Struthio camelus: one gene and its partner. The protein of the gene in region 2 interacts with the protein of the main gene of each other region in a biochemical or structural test. Links are inferred from orthologs where the notes say so. Each region holds a gene or a part of one and is shown on either strand. Other genes may lie near its edges.

Evidence for each region.
Region 1: the proteins of COPA (region 2) and COPE form a complex in vitro, tested with the Homo sapiens proteins (3 studies listed by BioGRID, with this or other methods). The link is inferred for Struthio camelus from reciprocal best matches to the Homo sapiens genes COPA and COPE.

What each region holds. Positions count from the first base shown.
Region 1 is NC_090967.1:6,124,466-6,135,918, reverse strand, and holds the start of COPE (coatomer subunit epsilon), read left to right. Parts: upstream 1-7,099; 5' UTR 7,100-7,201; coding exon 7,202-7,327; intron 7,328-7,623; coding exon 7,624-7,686; intron 7,687-8,110; coding exon 8,111-8,211; intron 8,212-8,413; coding exon 8,414-8,566; intron 8,567-9,057; coding exon 9,058-9,111; intron 9,112-9,627; coding exon 9,628-9,709; intron 9,710-10,894; coding exon 10,895-11,050; intron 11,051-11,331; coding exon 11,332-11,400; intron 11,401-11,453. Other genes in the region: probable ATP-dependent RNA helicase DDX49, read right to left, coding at 1,623-1,799, 2,089-2,160, 2,546-2,634, 3,249-3,323, 3,712-3,809, 4,316-4,392, 4,515-4,590, 5,151-5,291 and 5 more. UniProt on the Homo sapiens protein: The coatomer is a cytosolic protein complex that binds to dilysine motifs and reversibly associates with Golgi non-clathrin-coated vesicles, which further mediate biosynthetic protein transport from the ER, via the Golgi up to the trans Golgi network.
Region 2 is NC_090971.1:5,143,373-5,154,322, forward strand, and holds the start of COPA (coatomer subunit alpha), read right to left. Parts: upstream 5,178-10,950; 5' UTR 5,163-5,177; coding exon 5,021-5,162; intron 4,808-5,020; coding exon 4,694-4,807; intron 4,189-4,693; coding exon 4,115-4,188; intron 3,799-4,114; coding exon 3,718-3,798; intron 3,483-3,717; coding exon 3,406-3,482; intron 2,897-3,405; coding exon 2,787-2,896; intron 1-2,786. Other genes in the region: NCSTN (nicastrin), read left to right, coding at 5,250-5,373, 5,831-5,935, 7,511-7,634, 8,173-8,291, 9,381-9,526, 9,653-9,803, 10,307-10,416. UniProt on the Homo sapiens protein: The coatomer is a cytosolic protein complex that binds to dilysine motifs and reversibly associates with Golgi non-clathrin-coated vesicles, which further mediate biosynthetic protein transport from the ER, via the Golgi up to the trans Golgi network.

The DNA of each region.
Region 1 (11,453 bases), on a different chromosome or scaffold from region 2:
AAACATGGTTCAGGCATCTCCCAAACCCCAAACTGTATCACACCCATCTCATCCCACACCTGCCACCAGGTAGCCATAAAGATAGACACTGGCCAAGCCCATGTGAGTGCTGAGCTCCTGCAAGGCCTGAATGCACTGTGAGGCCTGCTGTTCATGGCTGCAGGATCTTTTCTGAGGGAAACAATGGCTTTCCTTTGCAAGACCTCCCTGTGCACACGCCATGCTGAGTCAGGCAAAGGCACTGCAGGGACCACCTGCTCCTAGGAAAGGAGCTGGGCTCAGGTTGGATGAAAGGACAACAGAAGCTTTCCATGGCAGATAGACAGCATCAGGATATCCAACACCCACAAGCCAACTCCTTGTCCAACTGATTTCCTGAAACAAAACTGAAGGTTTCCCATTTTATCTCCAGCTGTTTCCCCACACAAGGTACTCTTCCACTCCCCTGAGAGCCCATGACAATTCCTCCATGCGAGTAGGTGTTAGAGAAGGTCAAACATCCTGTCACCTGTTGCCAATAAGTATTTATTTGGGGCCTGACCACAGAAACTATTCTTGCAAACCAGAGAACAGAAATAACAGTTCCTCAAACATTAAAGAAGGCACTGACAATCAAACTTGACATTAGAAACAGAGCTGGCCAAACCCTATGACCTGAGCCTGCTCTGGGATTTGAGGCTCTGTGGGGAAGCACTTTTATGCCAAATGATTTTCAGAAGATCTCAGCACCCCTTGGCCAACCTCCTGTTCCAAATATACATGATGCAAATCTATGCTGGGAGGCCCAGAAACCTTTCTGGTTACTCTTAGATGGTACAAGAAATATGGGAGCCCCACCTCATTGGCTTTTCACCTTCTGCACCAGAAAAGGTCTTTGAACTGACTATCACCTGGGAAAGCAAGATCAGATCAAGAGTCCCCAGAAGCCCAAGTCACTGAGGGAACCAGGACTCTACTACCCACACCAATCAGCAGTGCTGGAGTCCAAACTGAGGCAGATGATCACAGGCAAGGGTGCCACATAAATGCATAAAGCAGCATTATCAGAAGGATAGGCCTCAAGACCAGCTGCACAACACAACCTCCCTATGTGTTCCAGGAAATTTTCCTCTCAGAAAACCATGGGCTATGCCAGGTCGAGGGGCTGAGATCATCCTGTCGCAGTATTTTTAGACTCTGGCTCAGGGGAGAATCTGTTGATATAAACAAGAGTGGAAAGCACCAGCCCTTGAAAGGGAAAGAGCAATGACTGAATGGAGAGAGAGAGAATCCTTATTTCCCTTCATGTCACCAACAATTCAGGTCTGGCTGTCCTTTGCTCGGGAAAGGGATGCGCTTTTGAAGGACATTCTTCCAGGAGATGGATCCAGCCTTTCAGGAGGGGCTCAAGCCAGCAGCATTACGCAGGAATGAAAAGTAACGGAGATGGTTTTTGAGAGGATCCCATCCTCCCTCACCTGCTTCCCCCAAACTCTCCAACACCAATTTCAAGTCAGAATTGTCCACATTAAAACCCATTAGGGCTCAGTATCCCCAAAGCAGGAGCAACATCAGGGTGGTAACAGCCAACCAGCAGGGCTCCCAAGCTCCCTATGAGTAGAAATAAGTCAGGCCAAAGGATGTTATTTCTCTTCCTCAGCACGCAGTCTGTTCTGCCGCTCTATCCTCTTCTGCAGTTTCCTCTTCAGCTGCAGTTGCTTTTTCTCCTCCAGTGTTTGCCGGATCTTCTCACGGAATTGCTTGTTTTTCTTCTTGATCTTGGCCAGTTCTGCCTTCCTTTTTGCCTCCAGATCCGGATCCTGCAATGACAAATGCCAGGATACTAGTCACATGCATAGGGATAGTGCCAGCCCCTTGCCTTTGCCAGATGCCCACTCTGCTCCCTAGCCCATGACTGAGTAAGCTGCAGAAGTCAGACACTAATCCAATCACTTTTTCCGTACCAGTCACCCTTTAAGATAAGTTTCACCACCCCAAAAGGGAGGTGGACAAACCACAGCAGTGAAGAAGAAACCGTCATTCCTCTTCCTTGTCAATGGTGTTATACCAGCTACCGATCAAAGTAGTTTATATAGCAGCAACTCTCACCTTCCCTTCAAGGATCATTTGTTTCCGCTTATTTATTTCTTTCTTTTCATCAAAATCCATCCCCTCCAGTTTCTGTCAAAGCAAAGATAGAGGAGGGCAATCAGCAACCAATCACTGAGCCTGACACAGAAAAGCAGTCAGCAGAGCCTCCTTGGTTCTCACACGCACCTTTGGTAACCTCCAGCCCCAACACTCAGCAGCACAGAAATGCTGCAGAAATGTTCAATAATAGATCAAACCATCAAACCCTATGCTAAGGAAGATATTTAAAAAAAAAAAAAAAAAAAAGCCCACATACATCCAAATGTTTCCACTAGAAAAACTCTTATCTATGTGCTCAAGAAAAAAAGCTTCATATCCAGAGCTGAACACTAGACTGTGACAAATCTCCTTGTTACACCCAGCTGCCCAACGTTTCCAGTCCTCTGAGCAAAGGGGCTTATGCTTGCACACTTACTATTTCACACTCCCTCCTGGTGATGTACACCTGGGTGAGGATGTCAAGCACAAAGCGCTCCTCCACAGAAAACTCCTGCAGCTTCAGTTCTAAATCAGAACAAGACATTTACAGAGCACGGGTCATTACAAAATACAGAGGCAGATTCGCAACTAGTGAAATCAGTATAGTTTCACTGATTGTCAGTGGAACTGTTGTCACTTGCTTTGATCATTATGACTTCTGCAGTCCTACAACACAGGATTAAATCCTCCCCTCTGCCCATAAGTCCCTGTAGCACAAGATGTTGCCTTTATTAGGTCTGTTTTCAAAACAGATGAAACCTGAATCTGTGCAAAGCGTCCCACTCTTTCTGTACACCTCTGCATACACAGCACTGAGTCAGGAAGGAAGGAAAGAAGGAGCTGACTGCTGTAAGAAAAAGGTTACAGAGCAAGCTCTACAGCCCGTTTCCCCTGCACTAGAAATAGCAGGAAGACAAACATGCTCATGCCTGGCACACACAACAGCAAACCCAAAGCTGATAGATTTAAGTGCTCCCACTCTTTCCCAAGCCTTGGCCACACAATCAGGGAAGAGAGACCATTTTGTTGCCAGTGTTCTGGATCATACATCCTACCCTGTGAAATTAGGACTGCAAGAATCACAAGCACAGAGGAGCATGTATCATCCCATTTTAGCACCGTTAACGCTCTCCACTTACTGATTTCATCCTCGATAGCATGTACCAGATGGATGTCGTACTGTGTCACCATTGTAATAGCTATTCCGTGCCGACCTGGAGGATAAGAACACAGTAATATATGAATCTTGACGAGCAGAGGGAGATGAAGCCTAATCCATGCCAGAGGCCATCCATCCCTGTGAGTCAGCTTGGCAGATTATGGTCACAGGGCACTCTGAAGAAGGACCTTTATTTGCTCTGCAAAATCAATTAACTATTGGTGCAGATCAGACACAGCTCAAGGTGAACCATCAACGCAATCTTAGGGCAGGATGCTGAGCCCGTGATCCGAGTAGATCTGACACTGACTGAAAACACCGCACTGCAGCTGCTGCAAAGCCTCCTTACACCCATTCAGGGCACAGCCTTAGCACTGGGATCCCAGTTCTAGCCAGCTGCAGCACTATCTTGCAGCAAATGGCACAGGGTTTTCCTTGCTCACCAGCACGGGCTGTCCGGCCAACCCGGTGAATGTAGATTTTTGGCAAGCCTGGAGTATTGTGGTTGATGACAACTTGTACTGCAGGAATGTCCAAACCTCTGGAATGCAGTAAAAGAGAACAGAAGTTAAGAAACACCATTTTAGTACTCTGCTCTCCCCAAGAGCCCAATATTCTCATGAATACTGCCTTTATTAGCTCAGACTGAATCTAGGACAAACCCTCTCCTCACACTGCTCTCCAACAGCTGCAAAATGGGATGGCCTGCATAAACATCACCCTGTAGCCTGACCAGCCTGCTGTTCCCTCCCTAGACCCAGGAGACAAGCTAAGCCTCACAGAAATCTTTCTCCTACTACAACACATGCACACACTCCTGCTGCAGCAAAACAAAGCAGAATCAGAGCTACTTCATGTACAAATGAGCTCCAAAGTACGTCTTAAATATTCCCTAATCAAAGGGAACAACCCTATCCTACCCAAGTGGGGATTAGAGGGAATTTAAAACTCCTCTCTTGCTAAAGCTACCCTAACCTCCACAGTGACTGTGGTGCTTTAAAAGCACGCCTAAGACCTTTGGCAACAGACACACTAGTTTTTCGTTACCTGGCAGCAACATCCGTGGCAATAAGAATCCTAAAGATGCTGGACTTGAACTTTGCTAAAGCCGCAAATCGCTGCCGCTATAAAGGAAAAGTCTGGATAAGTGATACTGCGATCCTCAGGAGCTGCGTGCCCTGGACAGACCTCTGGCTCAGGGATGCAGCTATAAGCATCCATCTCCCAGACCTGGCCTGTCACTCACCTGTTTCATCATGGAATGCAGAGCTACAGAAGGAAAGTTGAACTTCCTAAGCATCATGTTCAAGACTTGGCAGTCCCTTAAGGCAAAAATACATTTCCTTGTTATATTCTGATCTTTCAAAAGCAGATGAATCAGAACAGAGGCTGGGGTTCCTCTAGAACCCCTCAGAGTACAATCACCACGATGAAGTTAGTTACCGAAGCGCTCTGACGGAGGTAGGGAACAGGACGCCCACTCCACACTTAGCACCCGCTCACCCCAAGAGAGTGACTGGATCCCTGCATGTACCCAGGGAAATGTCACAAGCACCACACTTAATCCCCAGGAACTAAAATCCTAAAGAAAGAGAACAGTACGAAAGAGCGGACAGTGCTATTTTCCCCATCCCTTTTCCGTTATCCATCAGCAGGAGCAAAGGAAGATCAAGGGAGGTAACATAGCTTGACCCTCTGGAGCGTTACATTTGTGGACAGTCCTTCACCCCCAGATTGCCCAAAGGAAAAGGAGTTCATCTGCCAAATTTCAGCACAGACTAAGGAAGTAAATACCATCCCAGTCTAACAAACCATAAACCTGAACTAGAAATGCAAAAACACGTTTACAGTAAGAGCAATCACAAGGAGCAACTTCACTCACTTGCAGGTTTTGGTAAAGACAATAATAGACCAGTCTTCATGCTCATCCTGAAAGGTCTGGATTAAATGGACCAGGTACGCATCCTTGACTGTCTCTGGCACAAGCAAGTAGCGCTGGTCCAATTCATCCACTGTCCGCACCCTGCAGGGAGGGAAAAACAAGGTACCAAAAAAGCACAGGTTTGACAAGCAAAGATGGAGCATGAGGGAGATAAAAGACCGTCAGGAGACAAGATAACGGAGAGGAAGCGTGATCCCACATGTAGTGGAGCAGGTGAAGACTTACTCTGACAAAGCCTCCCAGAAGAAAGGCCTGTTCATGGCAAGACTCTTCAGCTCATTCAGTGTATCGGTTAGCGTGGCACTGAAAAGCAACGTTTGTCTGCGTGCTGGAACAGCCTCTAGGATCACCTCCAGGTCCTCAGTGAAGTCAGTACATTCCTGCTCTAGCAGCCGGTCAGCCTCATCCAAAACCTAGACACAGCCAAAAAATAACCAACAGACTGTCTGCACTCATGCCTACGAAGCTAGGAATCTTAAAAGCAGAAACAAAACTAAATAAACTGCCCTACCAAGAACTTTAGCTTTTTAAGGCTGAAAGTGTTGGAGCTGCGGAGGTGATCTGCCAACCTGCCAGGTGTAGCAATGACAACATGGGGTTTGCGGGAGAGCTCTAGTGCCTGGGCCACCATGTCTGAAACAAAGAGCCATAGAACCAGGTTACAGGCAGCTGAACACAGACCCTAAATAACGTTTGGTCTGTGAAGTTGGGAAATACAACGCTCCCTATTTCTGCTACCCTCACACAGCCTTAGGCACAGAATAACAACTTCACAGCAAGAAGAAAACATAGCACGTAGAAAGAAAAGCGTCACCCACACACTGGATATCCAGTGACCCAGGAAAACAAAACTATTGTTCTGGGTTTAAAACGCTTACCATCCTTATGTCCTTTTATAACTCTTTGCTTCAAAAACAGCTGCCTACGTTTAAGGAAACACTCCCAGTTTAGAGATAAATCACACAGGCCTCTATCCACAGGGACAAAAGGACAGTAAGCCTCTCTAACAACGACTACCTATCTCCATCCAGCTGCTGCAGGGAACAGGCTGCCAAAAGAGAGGCGATTTCCGATGCATTTTGGAGAATTTGGCCCCCACTTGCTCACCCAGTGTTTTGTTCTTTACCAGCCCTGCCCGCACCGGAGGCGGAGAGGACCAGCAGAGGCCCCACGCGGCCCCAACCTCGGGGCAGCGCCACTCACCCAGGCCGCCCACCACGACGCAGTCCTTCAGGCCGAGGGGCTTCCCCAGGACGCGGAACTGCTCGGCGATCTGGTAGGCCAGCTCCCTGCCGAGGGAGAGAGAGCTCAGGCGGGGCCGGGCGCCGCGGCGGGGCCCTGCCCCAGGGGCCGGGGCTCCCCGGGACCCCTGCGCACCTCGTGGGCGTCAGCACCAGGCAGAAGATGCCGTAGGGGTCCTCGGAGAGCGCCTGCAGCACGGGCAGCACGAAGGCCGCCGTCTTCCCGCTGCCCGTCTTGGCGCAGCCCAGGCAGTCGCGACCTGCGCGGGAGGCAGAAGCAGGCGGGCCGTTAACGGCCGCCGGCAGCCCTTCAACGGCCGCCGGCAGCCGTTAACGGCCACCGGGGCGCCGCGAGCGGCGGCGGCCGCGCTCACCCTGAAGCACGGGCGGGATGCAGGCGGCCTGCACGGCCGTGGGCCGGCTCAGCCCCACCTGCCGCGCCTGCTCCACCAGCCAGGGCGCCAGCCCCAGCTCCCGGAAGGCCGCCATGATACCGCTGCCGCTGCCACTGCCGGCCAGGCCGCCGCCGCCGCCGCCACCCCCCCCACTTCCGGCCTACGCGCTGCGCGTCACCGCCCCGCCCGGCCTCCTCATTGGCTGCCTTCTCTCTGCACCCACTTCCGGCGCCCGCTCTGGCGTCATCGCCCCCGGCACGCCCATTGGTTGGGGGGAGAGGAGCGTCCTGTGACGCTAGCTCCCGGCAGCCCTCGCGGCCCAGCTGCTTCCGGAGACGTGTCTGAGGGGAGGGAAATGGCGGCCGGGGGGGGCGCGGGCCCTGCCGGCCAGGGCGGCGATGCGGACGAGCTCTTCGACGTAAAGAACAACTTCTACATCGGTGCCTACCAGGCCGCCATCAACGAGGCGCAGCGGGTCAAGGTAGGGGTGGCCTAGAGGGGGCCCTGGCGCCATGTGTCCCCCCGGCTCCTCTCCCCCGGGCCCGGCCTCCCCTCAGCCGCCCTCTCCCCGGAGCCCCTCGCCTCGCCTCGCCTCGCCGCAGGCTGTCTGCGCTGCCGCTAGCGTCTCTCCTCTCCTGCAGCGCCCCCCGCCCCCGGTGTGGGGGTCTCGTCCCACGGTGCAGCCTGGCGGGGCCGTCCGTGTGGGACTGCGCTGCTCAGGGCTCGGGTTATGGCTGCACGGGTTGCTGAGAAAGGTCTTTTTTGTCGTCCCGTCAGCCGTCTAATCCGGAGAAGGAGGTGGAGAGGGATGTTTTCTTATTCCGAGCCTACATTGCCCAGGTGAGGTTACAAATGCTGCATATGCAGTAGTCTAGCGTTACTGTGGGGCTGGAATCCAGAACTTGTGAATCTGAGTCCTGCAAATTCAGTGCCGTGCAATTTCTAGTAATTCCTCCTTCAGTGTTGGAACGTAACGTCCGCTGGAACAGACACGGAACATGCAGTAGTGCAGTTATGAACGCGATGTGTTGTGTCTAGGGTCAGTGCAACCTGATGAGACCTCTTTGAGAGGTACTTCTTTATTGTTAACACAGTGTAGAGGGGGGAATAATTCTTTATAGGGTTATGAAATCTGACTGTGTACAGTGCGATGGGAGATGTAAAATAGGAAGGGGAGGGGTGGTGTCTAAGGTTTACAGAACAAACTATTCCTGCTTGTGTTCTTAAAATGAATAAATTCTAGATTCTTTTTTGTCTTCAACAGAGAAAATATGGTGTTGTCCTGGATGAAATTAAAGCCAATGCTAGTCCTGAGCTCCAAGCAGTAAGGATGTTTGCTCAATATCTTTCAAATGAGGGTCAAAGGTAAGTCTGATAATAAGTTATAACACTCACGCACTGTCAGGGAATATATTTTCCTATGGAGAATTTCTAATAGAAGTGTAATCTTTATTATGGCTGTCTGTGGTTCTGCCACGAATCTCAAAAACGTAGAATTTTAGGGGGTAAAATCTTTTGGCGTTATTTAGTAATAAAACGCTCAAATTTTTACTACTGCTCTTCACAGAGATGCAATTGTTGCTGACTTGGACAAAAAAATGGCAAAAAGTGTTGATGTAGCTAACACTACTTTCTTGCTGATGGCTGCTTCCATCTATTTCCATGACAAAAATCCTGATGCCGCTTTGCGCACTCTACATCAAGGGGAAAGCTTGGAATGGTAAGTGTAATTCAATATGACATCATTGAGGTGTGTGTTAGCAAAGTCTCTGTTGTCTAGGGAGAGTTACCATAGAAATGGCAGAGATCTGGCTTGTCTCTAAAAAGCTTTGAAACCATTAAGAAACTGTTTTGAGGATTGTCTTCCAAGCAGTAAGTGACTTGGTGCCTGTCCTGCAATAGAAAGTATATTGTACCTTTGTGAAACTTTAGAATTTGATTTTTTTTTTTTTTTTGGAACAGTACTTGTTCGTGGTTGCTCAAATGAGCATTATGGTGTTACAGCAACAGAATATTTGGGAGCTAGAAGCAAGCTTCCCTGTTCTGTGTCCCAGTGATTGTTCTCCCTGCTTTATTGGTTTTCCGCTGCAGGGAGACTTGTCCCTAGTCTCCGGTAATACATCTGTCTCCTATGCAGTAGGTTCCCAAGCAAAGTGTAGGGAGCAGTAGAGCACGCAGCTGTGAAAATCACTTTCCCTTTGTTCCTTGCAGCATGGCAATGATGATACAGATTCTTCTGAAGCTCGACAGGCTTGATCTAGCCCGGTAAGTTTGCCTCTTGTATGCACCCCTTTGTTTCTGAACAATATTCTTGCAGTGGGCTTAAAAAAATTTGAAGTCCTTGATAAGAGAATTTGGATCACCTAGCAGCGCTTTAACACATGCAATGGGCAGAAGAAACTGTGTCTGGGTATGGGTGCACTGTGCAAAATTCCTGTTCGTCATGATGCAAGAACTTTGGAGATAATCTAGCTGGATACAGCTAAAGGAAGAAGCTGTCTCCTAGACTTAATTTCGCCTTTGCTAGAGGGTGATTTGAGTCTCTAGTCATGGGTTATTAGCTTCCCAAAAGGAAGTTAAACAGGGAGGGAACACTCTTCCACAGACTTGTTTCAGCAAAATATCGTAAAGGTTTTGTGCCACATTACCAGGTTGCTGTGGCTGTTTGCTAGAGGGAGAGAAGAGTTGACAGAGGGAACTGCAGCCTTTTGTTTGTATCTGAAAGAACTCCAGAGGATGCATTATCTTTCTGTTACATGGCTCCCACTTTTGCTTCTGCAGCAAGGAACTTAAGAAGATGCAGGAGCAGGACGAAGATGCAACTCTTACTCAGCTGGCTACTGCCTGGGTGAACCTAGCCATAGTGAGTAGCCTAGACAGGGGTCCCTAGTGTACAGCGTCTGAGGAAACGTTGTCCAGAAGCACAGCACTGGCACAAGACTCCATGTTGTATTCCTGATTGCTCTTGTCACGTTGTGCCTTCAGGGAAGCATGTCGTTTGGCAGAGGGGGAGGGAAAGGGGGGTTGTCTTGTTTTTGGAGGAGAGGGGTACTTTTTTCTTTTTTTTTTTCTCTCTCTCTCTTTGTTACCATGGAAATGTATTTTTTCCTTCAAGTACCCGGAGGATATTTGCAGCTGACTTTTCAGGCTGCCTGGCTGTTTTGACTGTTGGCCTTTTCATGTGTGCTATTTAGCCTTTAACTCGCATAGGGCAGAGCTAAACCACAGTTTAAATAATTCATGAAACATCATAATGTGAAATGGAAAGCTGCAGTGCGACTAGCATCCAGGCCTTGCAATTGAACTCCAGACAAAAATGTAATTCTCTGCTCACAGCAGATTGTCCTTAAGCACGTTTGTGATTCTAGGAATAGCAGGACAGTGCTCGCTAAACTCAATTTCAGTGATAAAACCAGCTGCCATAGCTCCTCGTTTGCCCTCAGCACTGGTTTCCTTTGCTCAGCAAGATGTTTGGCACTTTTGGTCTTTTATTCTTTAACTTCCCTCCCATCCAAGGAAACCTGTCTCTGCACAGCTAAAAACTTGCCTTTCACCTTGTTACTGCTCTCCATTGAGCCTTTTGATGCTCACCACTGGCTGGCAAGAATTTTATTTACAACTAAGCATTTGAAATGGGCAGCCAAAAACATATACTGTCTGGCAGTCCCGATATCAGGTATTTAGAAATAAGTAGTCTCCTAAAATTTGGTCAAGACCGAAGCATGCATGCAGTAACCTACTGTGAAGCTGCTAAGACTATTTTAGCACACGCTTGGCCTTGTTATGAAATCTTTCACAGATGGTCCTTGCCTTACAATAGCGTATGGCTATGTTTTCCTTAAGATCTTACTTTCCACTAGGGACCCCACCTTAGTTTTAGCCAGTGGAAGCTGCTGCATGTAGAACCTTTCTGAAGCTGGAACTTTTTGGAAAGCCAGATGTCTGTACCTTCATGTAGTTACAAGGTCTCATGTCATAATGCCTTAATACCTCAAGCATCTGAAGTGGTTCTTTTGAACTGTAGCTAATCTGTTTCCTCCCTTTGCAGGGTGGTGAGAAGTTGCAAGATGCCTATTACATCTTCCAAGAGATGGCAGACAAATGCTCCTCCACCCTCCTCCTACTTAATGGACAAGCAGCCTGCTATATGGCTCAGGGCAAGTGGGATGATGCAGAGGGGGTACTTCAGGAGGCACTGGACAAGGTATTTTCTGTTTTGCCAGGCAGATTAGCTAGAGTTCAAACGTCTTTCGTTAAGGACACGGAGCAAAAATAGCAAGGACTTTCACTGTTTTGTTTCATGAAAGCATTGCTAAGGGTTGTCAGTGTTAATACCTACCTTTTCTTCTGCTTTGCCTTCTCCAGTAAAGTGAGTTATGAATGTGACAGGTAAGATTGGCTTCCACTTGCAACACTGTGCAGGCTGTTACACCTAGTCACAGTAGAGATAAGTCAGGTGAATCAGATAATTGTCTTTGTTTTCAGGACAGTGGCCATCCTGAGACCCTGATTAACTTTGTTGTCCTGTCGCAGCACTTGGGCAAACCACCAGAGGTGAGACTTACTTTATTGTACTCAGCAAGCACAGTATGATGAACCTGTTCCTG
Region 2 (10,950 bases):
ATGATGAAAGAAGAAACACAGAGCTTTCAGAAGAGAAAATCCTCGAGCCTTTGACAAGTCAGTGAAACAGGACTGGAACACAAGTGGAAAATTTCTGGCATAACTGCACAGATCTAGAGGGAAGGCAGGACACTCGGAACATACCAGCTTCCTGTGCTGCTCTGGGGAGGGAGCAGGGAAAGAGAAAGTACTTGTAGCAGAACAATAGATGTTAGCCATTCTGAGGACAGCTGTTTTAAAAAAAAATTTAAAAAGGAGACTCGGCTCAACATGCACAAGGGCACCAAGAGGAAGAGGTATTAAAATAACCAGAGAAAAGGGGACACATGCTAATTGTGACTGACAAACCCAGAGGTTAGGAGGGAAGAAGGAAGAGAACTGTAAAGCTTTGGGGCATTCCTGGGAACCATTTTCAGGAATACAGTGGTTGACATATTAAGGGCAACACAGAACGACAGACAGTCCTTTGCAAATTCTTTTGCTCTACTCTCCTCTTTTTCCCAATTCAGGCCTTATCCTTGAGGGTCTATAACTTACCATCTGTATCCAATGGGCAATTAGAAAAACGCAGTGGAGGCTGAAGTTGTACCAAGGTTTCGCCAATCATGAAAGTACATCTGCTAAGGATGCTCAAAAAGAGGTAGGCTAGGTCTACAAATGCTATCTGAGGTCTGTCAGCTCAGGTCCTCTCAGCCCCAGGGCTCCTCAACAGCATAACAGTGAATTAAAGTCCAAATCCTCAGGTGATCCTCACTTAAGCTGGTCACCCTGATGAACTAATCCCAGTCCCGACAGAACAAGGAAGATCTCTGCCAAGCAGCAGACATCAACGTTTGCCAACTAAGAGGAAGTTAAACAGAAGCTGGTGTGTGATGTTACAGTACACACAAAAGCGCACTCTGAGCAGGACAACTAACACCCTCCTCCTGGTTAACAATTACAAAGAGCTAGAAAAAACAGGTTATTTTGTAGTTTCTGTAAGTTAATATCAGCACCATAAGCAAGAACTTCATTCCACAGCACAGGTGAATAATACAAAACAAATATTCATGCATTTTAATATACAAGCATGCTCTTTCTGACTGTAGTCACACAGTCTCTCTCAGGAGACTAGTAAAAAATGGACTCCTTAACCTGGACCGTATTTGAAGATACTTTATCAGCAGCTCTGAAGACAGAAAGTTTCAGTCCACAGTGCACAAAACACATGGGCATTCAAAACAAAAGGGTAGTCTTGATTGCCTGCTCCAGGTCATGCTTAATTCACCCACTACAACTCCTCCTCCCTCACTGCCAACAAAGCTGACAACTTCAGAAAGAGGATTTTGGAACACGGCCTTTTAACTCATTTAACTGAGGGCATCAAAGAACCAGTGCTCATAATCCTCAAACTTGCTGAAAACACAACTTGCAGCTTCTGTTGACATCAATGGGAAGTTATCAGCAGCACTCAGAACTGGAGTTAAAGCTCAGTATCAAATGATGCTGTCTATGTTTAGGATTATGCACACATGAGAGACATCAGACAACATGGGGAAATACCCATTCCCAGTAGACTGTTAGAACCAAATCAGAAGTCATTTGGGGGAAAAACTTGTGGGGTGACAGCGCAGGGGAAATCCTAATTTTTGTATCCATTTTTCAGTAAGAGAGAGTCTGTGGGAGAATGCAGCAGCAAAGCTTACTGGCAGAAGAGCTGTTAGACTCCCCATGCTGGCAGTACAGAGAGGGGGACAGGTTTTAAATAACCAGGAGATCCCGTCCCCAGCCCCTACTGCTGACCCAGCTGGCCATGTCTGAGTGTGTACCACAAACAATGCAGCATGCCCAACCAAAACTGCAACGTTGAGAGAGGGAGGTGGGATAAAGGACCACAATCTATCTCTAGGGATAGACAACATTGTAACACCATCAGTTCTGTCCCACCTGCCTGCCTTCAAGCAGTCCCTCATCTCCATCTAATACTTCCTCTCTTTTACTTTTTTATTTAGGGATCCTATTTCAATCATTAAGTCACCTCGTGGCCTAGCTGTAACCTACGAAACAACTAACAATAACCTACTAGCAAAATACTTTGGAATTCTGATTTGCATTTCCTTGCTCTGGTCTTTAGAATACGCTTCGTTTTATGAAACGGACAAGCAAATTGTATGCTGAAGAAATTTCTAATATTGCCTTCCTTTTCCCATCCATAACTAGGTTACCCAAAAGGAAAAAGAGAAAAGCCCTTTTTATCTTTATCTCTGAATGAATGACTTATTGCTGCCTCCAGGAGTTTTTCAAGGGGATAAAGATGAACCACAAATCTCAAGAATTCCCCCTACAAAGTCTGGCACATCAGCAAAGCTGATCCAGTGACAGTACTATGTGCCTTCTGACTGCAATACTCATCACCCACCAAAAAAAAAAAAAAACCCACAAAGAGCACACATACACACTGGGATATTAGGTTGTGGAATCTCCATCTTCAGAGGTTTTCATCACTGCACAAAGCTATAGCTGGCCTGATCTATCACTGGAGAATTCTTGCTTCAAGCAGAAGACTGGACTAGATGACACCCAGAGGTCCCTACCAACAAACATCCTACACTTCATGGAAACTGAGGGCAATGGGTCGCCGTCAATAGAGAATTCTGTACTTTGCTGCCTGAGGCTCCTGCAGTCAACAAGCTACTTTTTCTGCTCTCAGATACAAACCGACTAGTTCCTGCCTCACTTGGCTTTCAGCAATTGCAGTTTTGAAGTGGGCTGTGCCACTGGATACCCCCTCAACCTGGGCAGCTCACCAGAAATATCCCAAACGCGCACAGTCTGATCCAAGCTGGCTGACACTACCAGGTCCTCAGAGGGATGAAACTGGGCACACATCACATAGTGGTTGTGTCCTGTCAGCACACTACAACAAAAAGGACAGAAAATACCACTTAAACATAGCAGATACTAACATACATTTGTAGCCACAGGAATAAGCTCAGTCTGAGGAAGAAGGTTGATAAGGGATATATAATAACGTGATACTCAGGAAAAAAAAAAAAAATGCAACTCTTCAAGAGTTAGTGTGACTGAACACTGGATGCATGTTCTTGCGGAGAGCGTTCAAGGGCTTACTTACTGATGACAATAACCTCATAGGTGAATACCAACATATTACTTCAACCGGGGAAATTTTTTTTACCCAAACAACATGTCAATTCACAAATAAGAGATGGTTTAGTAGCATCAGAATAAACGAGCAAAAGAAAGGACCGACAGATATATTCAAAACTGATCAATTTTCTTTGTCAGTTCTTTTCCTTCAACTATGCAGTTTTGAAACATCAATAATATCTCCCATTTGAAAAAAACAAATTAAGATAGCTTGCACCCCAGCCCTGCAGTTACTCATAAAGCACCCATTGATTTTACCAAACACAAGTCCTGGACTGCCAATTCCAAACACGAATTGTCTGATCATCAGAAGCACTCAATATCCAGGGATATTCCTAAAAGGTAAAGTATTTTGCAAATGAAATAATAATCTCCACATCAGACATTTCCCCCCTCCCAATGTTTTCCAATGGTCCCCACGAATGACCAGGGGTTTTTGGGTTTTTTTTTTTTTTTTTGGGGGGGGGGGGGGGGGGAGGAGGGGGAGCCAGGGCAGCCAAAAAAAGGATACCATTTTATATGAAAAGAGAGCAGACATACATCACTGGGTTAAGTAACAAAGAGACTTACATGGTGGAAGAAGGTAGTGCGAATGTAATCCAAGTGCCCAAGCAGAGTGAAAAGACAACGGCGCAATTTATAGTTCCAGACCTGCACGACACAGAAACAGAACAAAAAGCCCGTGCCACAGCCTGCCAAGACTTCTTGTGCTCTCTCACAACACATTAAAGATGTTAACTCACATACAAACCTCATTCTTCTATTTTACGATATGGCTCTAATGCAAGCTGCGAAGACACTTCAGTTCATTACAATTATCTCTAATGCCTCTGGAACAGCAGAATCCTTAAGCGCCTAACGCTATTTTTTCCCTCTCACTCTCTCACCTTGTCAGCATTTCCCCAACACATTCCCTTGCCTAGGCAACGTCCTTTACAGAACAAGAGATATCGGGGTAAAGTTTTACCTTTATTTTGTAATCATCACCTCCAGAAACAAAGAGAGGTTGCTGTTTGTGGAAGTCAATACCTCGAACGGGACCTACAAACAGGAGAAGCAGGTTGACAGAGACAGATGCCTGATAGCTGGAACAGTCCCTTATATCACGTAGGTTATGATTTTTATCCCTCCCTGATTCTTTTGGATATCGATAAAATAAAAAACTTTAACGCAACAATGAAAAGCCAGGCAAAACTCTGAGATCATATTCCTTTCTATCAGGGCACTCACAGGAATCACAGAATATCCAAGCCCTTCACACACAATTACAAGTTTATTTTTATACTGACAATGAAGCTAATACACTCACTATTCTGTAGGCCCGAACACAATGTTCAGAAACTAATAAATTGGCCAGGAAGAAAGACAGGGTAAAACAAATGGGGACTGAAGTCAAACCAGCAGAGGCCTGAGCAATGCCTTCAGCAAAATGACACACTTTCTTCTCTCTCACCCCAATCTTCTCCCACAAGCAAGTTTCAGCCTTTACTCTCATTGCAAAACCGAGCCTTCCCAATCTCGACCCCCCCGCCCCGAACACGCTCACCGTCATGCTCGTCAAATTTGTCGATCAGGGTGCACATCCGATAATCCCACAGCTGGATCACGCCATTGTGCAAACTCGTGAGGATCCACGGCCGCTTGGGGTGGAAGCTGAGCCCTGCCGAGGCCCGCAGTGGCGTGAGAGCGGAGCCGCCGCGCCGACGGAGCCTCGGGGCTGTTAGAGCCGCCCCCCCCCGCCCCGGCCGGGGCCGCTGGGCCTCGCAGGCTCCAGAGCGGGGGGGGGGGGCCCGGCCCCCTGAGCCCGGGGACACCCGGCGCCCGTGTCCCGTGCCCGTGCCCCCAGCCTCAGGACTCCCGGCGCAGCCGCTACCTTTCACCCGAGCCGACTTCGTCTCGAACTTGGTCAGCATCATCCACCGCCACCGACCCTCCACCCTGACGGTCCACGTCGGCGCCCCGGAAGTGCCCCCTAGAGACTTCCGCTTCCGTCCCGTGTAGTCCTCCTGGACCATAGAGTTGTAATCCTCCTGGCTGGTGCAGAGAGACTTCCGGCATTGCCTCCTTGTGGCCGCGGTGGAGGAAGCGGAAGGGCTGAGAAGATGGCGGCGGTGGGCAGCGCTGGGGGCGGCTGGGGGATGGAGGCCACTGCGAGGAGCCGCTGGATCCCGCTCCCGGCCTGGCGGGGGCTGCTCCGGGCGCTGCTGTTTGCCGCGCTGGCGGCGGGTGAGGATGACTGGGCGAGGGCCCGGGCGGGACAGGGCAGGGCGCCCCCGAACTGCGGCTACTCGGCCTCTGCTGGGGCGGGGGGGAGGAAGGCCCCTCTCTGAGGTGTCGGTGGAGGGAGGCGGAGAGGGCCTCAACTGTCTTTCTCTGAGCTGGGGGGCTCCCATTTTCCTCCCTGAGCTTTGAGACCCCCTTGTCTGCCTCTCTCTTGGGGGGGGGGGAGGTGGCCTCAAATGTCTCTCTCTGAAATGGGGGGGGGACTCCTGTTTTTCTCTCTGAGCTGGGGGGCTCCCTTCGAGACCCCACATCGTCTGCCCCTTTCTGAGCTGGGGGGAAGGGTAGTCTCTCTTCTTCTGAAATGGGGGAGGGCCTTGTATTTTTCCTTCTGAGTTGGGGGGGTTCCCTTCAGGACCCCTCATCTGGCCCTCTCTGAGGTGGGCCTATCTCTTGTCCTCAGGCTCCTGCCAGGGGAACTCTATTGAGAGGAAGATCTACATCCCCCTGAACAAAACGGCGCCGTGCGTTCGCCTCCTGAATGCCACCCACCAGATCGGCTGCCAGTGTGAGTACTGCTGTGGGGCCCCAGAGCTGCCCTTTGGGATGGCCAGGCCCTGAGCGATGTGGCATAAGAGTGTTGTTCTGTTTGCCTTGCCTTGACAACATTGCTTGTGTTCTCAGTGCTGTTTGCCCTCTCTTCCAGTCCCGCTTCAGTAAGGCTGTACTTGCTGACCAGTTTCTGCTAAATTGAAGGGTAGAGGCCTTAGGCTGTGCTCCTGTAGTCTCTGACAGACGATCAGTGCCTGGCAGAGAGCAGCACTCTGAACTCAGCAATCTACTGCTTGTATGTAGCAGTCAGTTAGCGCACGCATAGGATAAAACCAGGCCTCAGCGTAGGCCATCTCTTGCCCAGCCAGTATTTAGGGGTACAAGGTAAAGGTGTGCGTGCTGCAGAGTGAGTTAGGGGTAACAAGGGACTGGACAAAGGGAGCAGGGGGTGAAGAAGTGGGAAGTTGAGATCTGTAGGGAACAGATGGCTTGGTTGTGCTGCTTGTGCAGCGCTTGTTAACTTGGTAAGTTTTTTGTTGAATTAGGATTGGGGAAGCGAGGACTGCTTGGCTGGTAAGAACGGAGAGAGAAATAAGGACACCCAATTCAATCAACATTCCTTGCTGAAGGCAGTAATATATAGAAAGGGCTTTCTCTGAGTTGGTGTTTTGCTAGTTTGTGACTGAATTTTGCGGTTCCTGAGTGAGCCACTTCCTGCAGTGGGATTGTCAGCTGGTACTGCAGGGCAGCGCAGCTGCACTTGGTTTGATAGATGACCTGGGGTACAAGGTTCTCTGACTTCCATCATTGGGTGTGAGCCTAGTGTTAATGCAGACAGCTGCCTGCAATCCCGCCTTCCTAGTCACTAGCAGTTCTTGACAATGATAACAGTTACTAACTGCGGGCATTGACAAAGTACCTGTTTTAACAGTTGCTTCTTGGGCAGTGGACAAAGCACGTGCATGTTTTCTTTGGGATGGAGTGAAATGACAAGTAGTCAGACCTGCTTCTTCCTCCACCTGCTTTGTTGTTAGTCCTCTTTGCCACCGTGATCTTTTGCCATCTTTATCTCTCTGTGCTCCAGGCCTCGTGCTGAGCTGTGCTTGAACACTCAGTTTCTGAATTTGCAATCTTTACTCTTTGATAATGGGCAGCTCTAAACTGCTTCTGTGATTGTGGTCCTTGAGGCAGTTCCTGTCTCCTCTTTGCACCTTTCTGTTTCTGGGCCTCAATTTCCTATTATATCCTTTCTTATTTTCTTTGGTCACAGAAAACTAGTAGTGCTTAGGTAGCTGAAATTCCTTAAGCACTTTGAGCTTAGACAAAAGATGCTTTCAACACGTGGGTGCTTATTGCTATTACTTCTTAAATTATAATGTTTGGCTTTTTTCACTTTAAAAAAAAAAAAAGCCTATTTACTTTTCTGGCATGTTTTAGCTGAAAGTGCTACTTCACCAAATTCCTTCCTTCAGCTCTCTAATCCTGTGAGCTGTTCTTCCTTAAACCTCTCTGCGACATACTGTCCTTCTTTTCTGAGGTTTGAAAGAAACAGGCTCCAGTGAAACATGAAGGGCCTGCTCTCTTTCCGCAGCTTCCATCAGCGGAGACACAGGGGTGATCCATGTGGTTGAGAAGGAAGAAGACCTGAACTGGGTGCTTGCAGATGGCCCACACCCACCATATATGATACTGCTAGATGGGAACCTTTTCAACAGGTAATGAGTCATCATCAGTTTTAATCTTCCCAAGGTGACAAGAGCCCAGAGGACCAACAAGGGTCCCTAATCTGGTGATGAAAAATGTCATTTTTCAAATGACGCATGGTAAATCAGCCCTGAATGCCTGATTGTACCAATGTACAGTAAGGTTGGAGCATTTGTATTTTTACTGTCTTAGTGCCTGTGTTTGTTCATTTCTTCTTAAATGAATGGTTTGGTTGTTCAAGAGTTCTGCTCTATGTAAATTCTAAAGTCATGTTCATTGCTGTAGCACTTCCTATATTTAATTAAATTACATGATTAACATCTGTCTCATTTCTCTCTGGGCAGAGGAGAAAAGTGGGTGAAGTGATTGTTTTCTGTTTGTTGACATGTGCATAATCTCATGTATTTCTGAGAAGATAAGGAGAAAGGGGCATGTTTTGATCAAAAGCATCAAGCAGTGCTTGATTGTAGTACATCAGCAATAGCATGTATTGGATTGTAACTTTTGGTTAGTGAATTCAAATTTTCACTCCTCTGTTCTCTATTCTAGGAGGGTAATGCTGCAACTGAAGGGAACCTCACGAGTTTCAGGCCTTGCTGTGGCCATTGCCAAACCTAGCCCTCCCCAAGGATTCTCTCCTGGTTTGAAGTGCCCCAACGACGGGTTTGGTAAGGAACTGTAAAGTCTTTATTGTTGTTGGGTGGAGGAGAAACAGCAGTTTTACGTTGTATGGTCAAAGCAAGAAGTGCAAAGGCCAGCCAAAATTGCAGCTGCAGTTTAATGTCAAAATGATGTTTAAGGTCCAGGCTCAGTAAATCCTTTAGAAGTAGTTGGTCTGAGCTGGAATCTCATCCATTCTCAACAAGGGCTGGAACTGATGTTTGAAGAAAGACTGTTAGATGAGCTTTTGAATCTGCCCTGGATAAAATGGCATTATGTCATTAAAATGTTAAACCTGACCCAGATTTGCTCTAGCTTCTTTTTCTTTAACATATGAAACTTGTATTTTTTCCAAACATGATCATTAAGCCTCTTGTGTTTGTGCAGGTTGGGTGGAGTAGGCGTTAACAACTCTGGGCTACTAGTTACTTTTTTAAATTCTGTTCTGCTTCCCTGTGTTCCTCTTGCAGTTTCAGTCGGGTTTTCATTTCACTGTTTTTCATGCTCCCCTAAACTTTAGAAATGTTTCATGCAGCAAAACTACTGTGTTTTACTTCGAGGGGAGAGATTACTATACCTTGTGTAGTTTGCACAAAGGTTTCTGCTGCTCTGCTGTGAAGGATGCTATATAAACTCCTGAGATGAGTTTGGTGTGCTGGCATTTGTTGTCTCACTGCCTTCCTGCTGTTTGCACGCAGTATCTAGGTATTAAAATGATTGGCACATTATGGATGCCTTAGAGGTACTTCCAGCACATGATGAGCTCAGAAAATGCTGGTGTGTATGTTCCTCCTTTTGAAGTATGATGTTTCTCTGTATGCCTCCTCTGCTCTCTCAGCATGTGATAAATGCTTGTTGAGTTCTCATGCCAGCCTCCTGGCATGTGATGGCTTTGAGCATGCATGTTTCTTACTCTGTCCACATGGCACAGTGCTCTGTCTCTGCCACTTTGCTGCATGCAGTGACCAGCTCCATCTCTCTAAGCTTTTGTCAGCTCGTTCTTTAGCCCATAACGGTGCTAAATGTATGCTTGCTGCTGCTTTCTCAGCAGCCCTTACCTTTCCTGCGGTGATTTGCCCATTTCTTCCTGTTTCCAGGTGTCTATTCCAAAGATTATGGCCCTCAGTTTGCACACTGCAACAGTACTGTGTGGAATCCCGTGGGGAGCGGGCTTTCTTATGAGGATTTTGACTTCCCTATTTTTCTACTTGAAGATGCCAATGAGACTCAAGTTATTAAGCAGGTACTGCACTTTGCCAAAAGGCGGGCGAGGGGATTTGCAACATGGCTCAAGAAAGAGGGCTGTATTGCAGTGTGCAATACTATTACAGAAATACTAAGTCTTATACTAATTTTTATTTCTCTCTAGTGCTATCAAGATCATAATGTCCCTCATGATGGATCTGGCCCTGAGTACCCTCTGTGTGCTATGCAGCTTTTTTCCCACATGCATGCTGTCACTAGCACTGTTACCTGCATGAGACGCAGCTCCATCCAAAGCACCTTCAGCCTTAATCCAGGTAAGCAGATTCCTCTTACCCTGTCATGATGTGGGACAAGACTGATAATAAAAATCCCAGTGGAATACAATGGCTCAAAAGAAAGAAAGAAAGAAAGAAAATTTCTAAAATGTCCCCGAAGATTTGCTTGCTGACCAAGCCTTTTCAAAATAAACTATTTAAGCGATGAAGAATTTAGGGGTACATTTGTCATTGGTTTGGAAAATTAGTATGCAGAGGGGATTCTGGCTGAGGAAGAGACTTAATATCTGCTAAACAGATCATAAAGAATGGCTCTGATATCAGTACTTCACTAGCAGTGCGTGTACATAGATTGAAATCCTGGTCCTGGTGCATGTTTTATCAGTGACTTTTCCTGGGGCCAGGACTTACACCCATGCTGAGCAGAAGCTTGCTGCTGTGATAGAACCGCTGATGAGCTATAGCTGACCAGAAAGATTGTTTCTCACTTGTTGTCACTGCTGTAGTCTCAGCTCTTGAGTTGTGTTGTTTCTGCTTCGTAGAGGTTGTATGTGATCCTCTTCTTGATTACAATGTGTGGAGCACCTTGCAACCTATCAATTCTTCTGGAAAAGTCGACCCTGAGAAAGAAGTCATTATTGTTGCCACTCGAGTAGGTACCTCTTAATCTTGCTGTGAAGAGAGCAGGCTGAAAGGATTCTGGGAAGATGTGGGCTTAGGGCCTTGCTGGAATATACCCCTCCTAAATATTTTAATTTCTTCCCATGTTTCAGACCTTGCTTTACATCTGACTGACTATAATAGTTCTGCAAGTAGGAGCCTTTTAGATAGTAGAGCCTATTATTTCAACATAAGGACATCTGGACTTTATTTCTGTTTGTCTTGCTACATGACTTGGGGCATTTGCTCAGTGATGCAAAGCCTTTAAGGAACCAGACAAGTAGGAACCAGACAAGTAGAAATAGTCAACACTTCTGATTGTGCTTTTCTAAGATAGTTTACATCCTTGGAATGTTTTGCAGAGGGGGAGATCTCATTGATCTGTCAGTATTTAACAGAAGGGCAAAACTGAATCACATGGAGATTTTTTTTTTGCAGGTCAAGCAGTGAGAAGGTATCAAAGCTGAGCAAAAAAGTTTACTCCCCTGTCTAGCAGTCTTTTTTACTTGGTGAGCATTATTAAAAT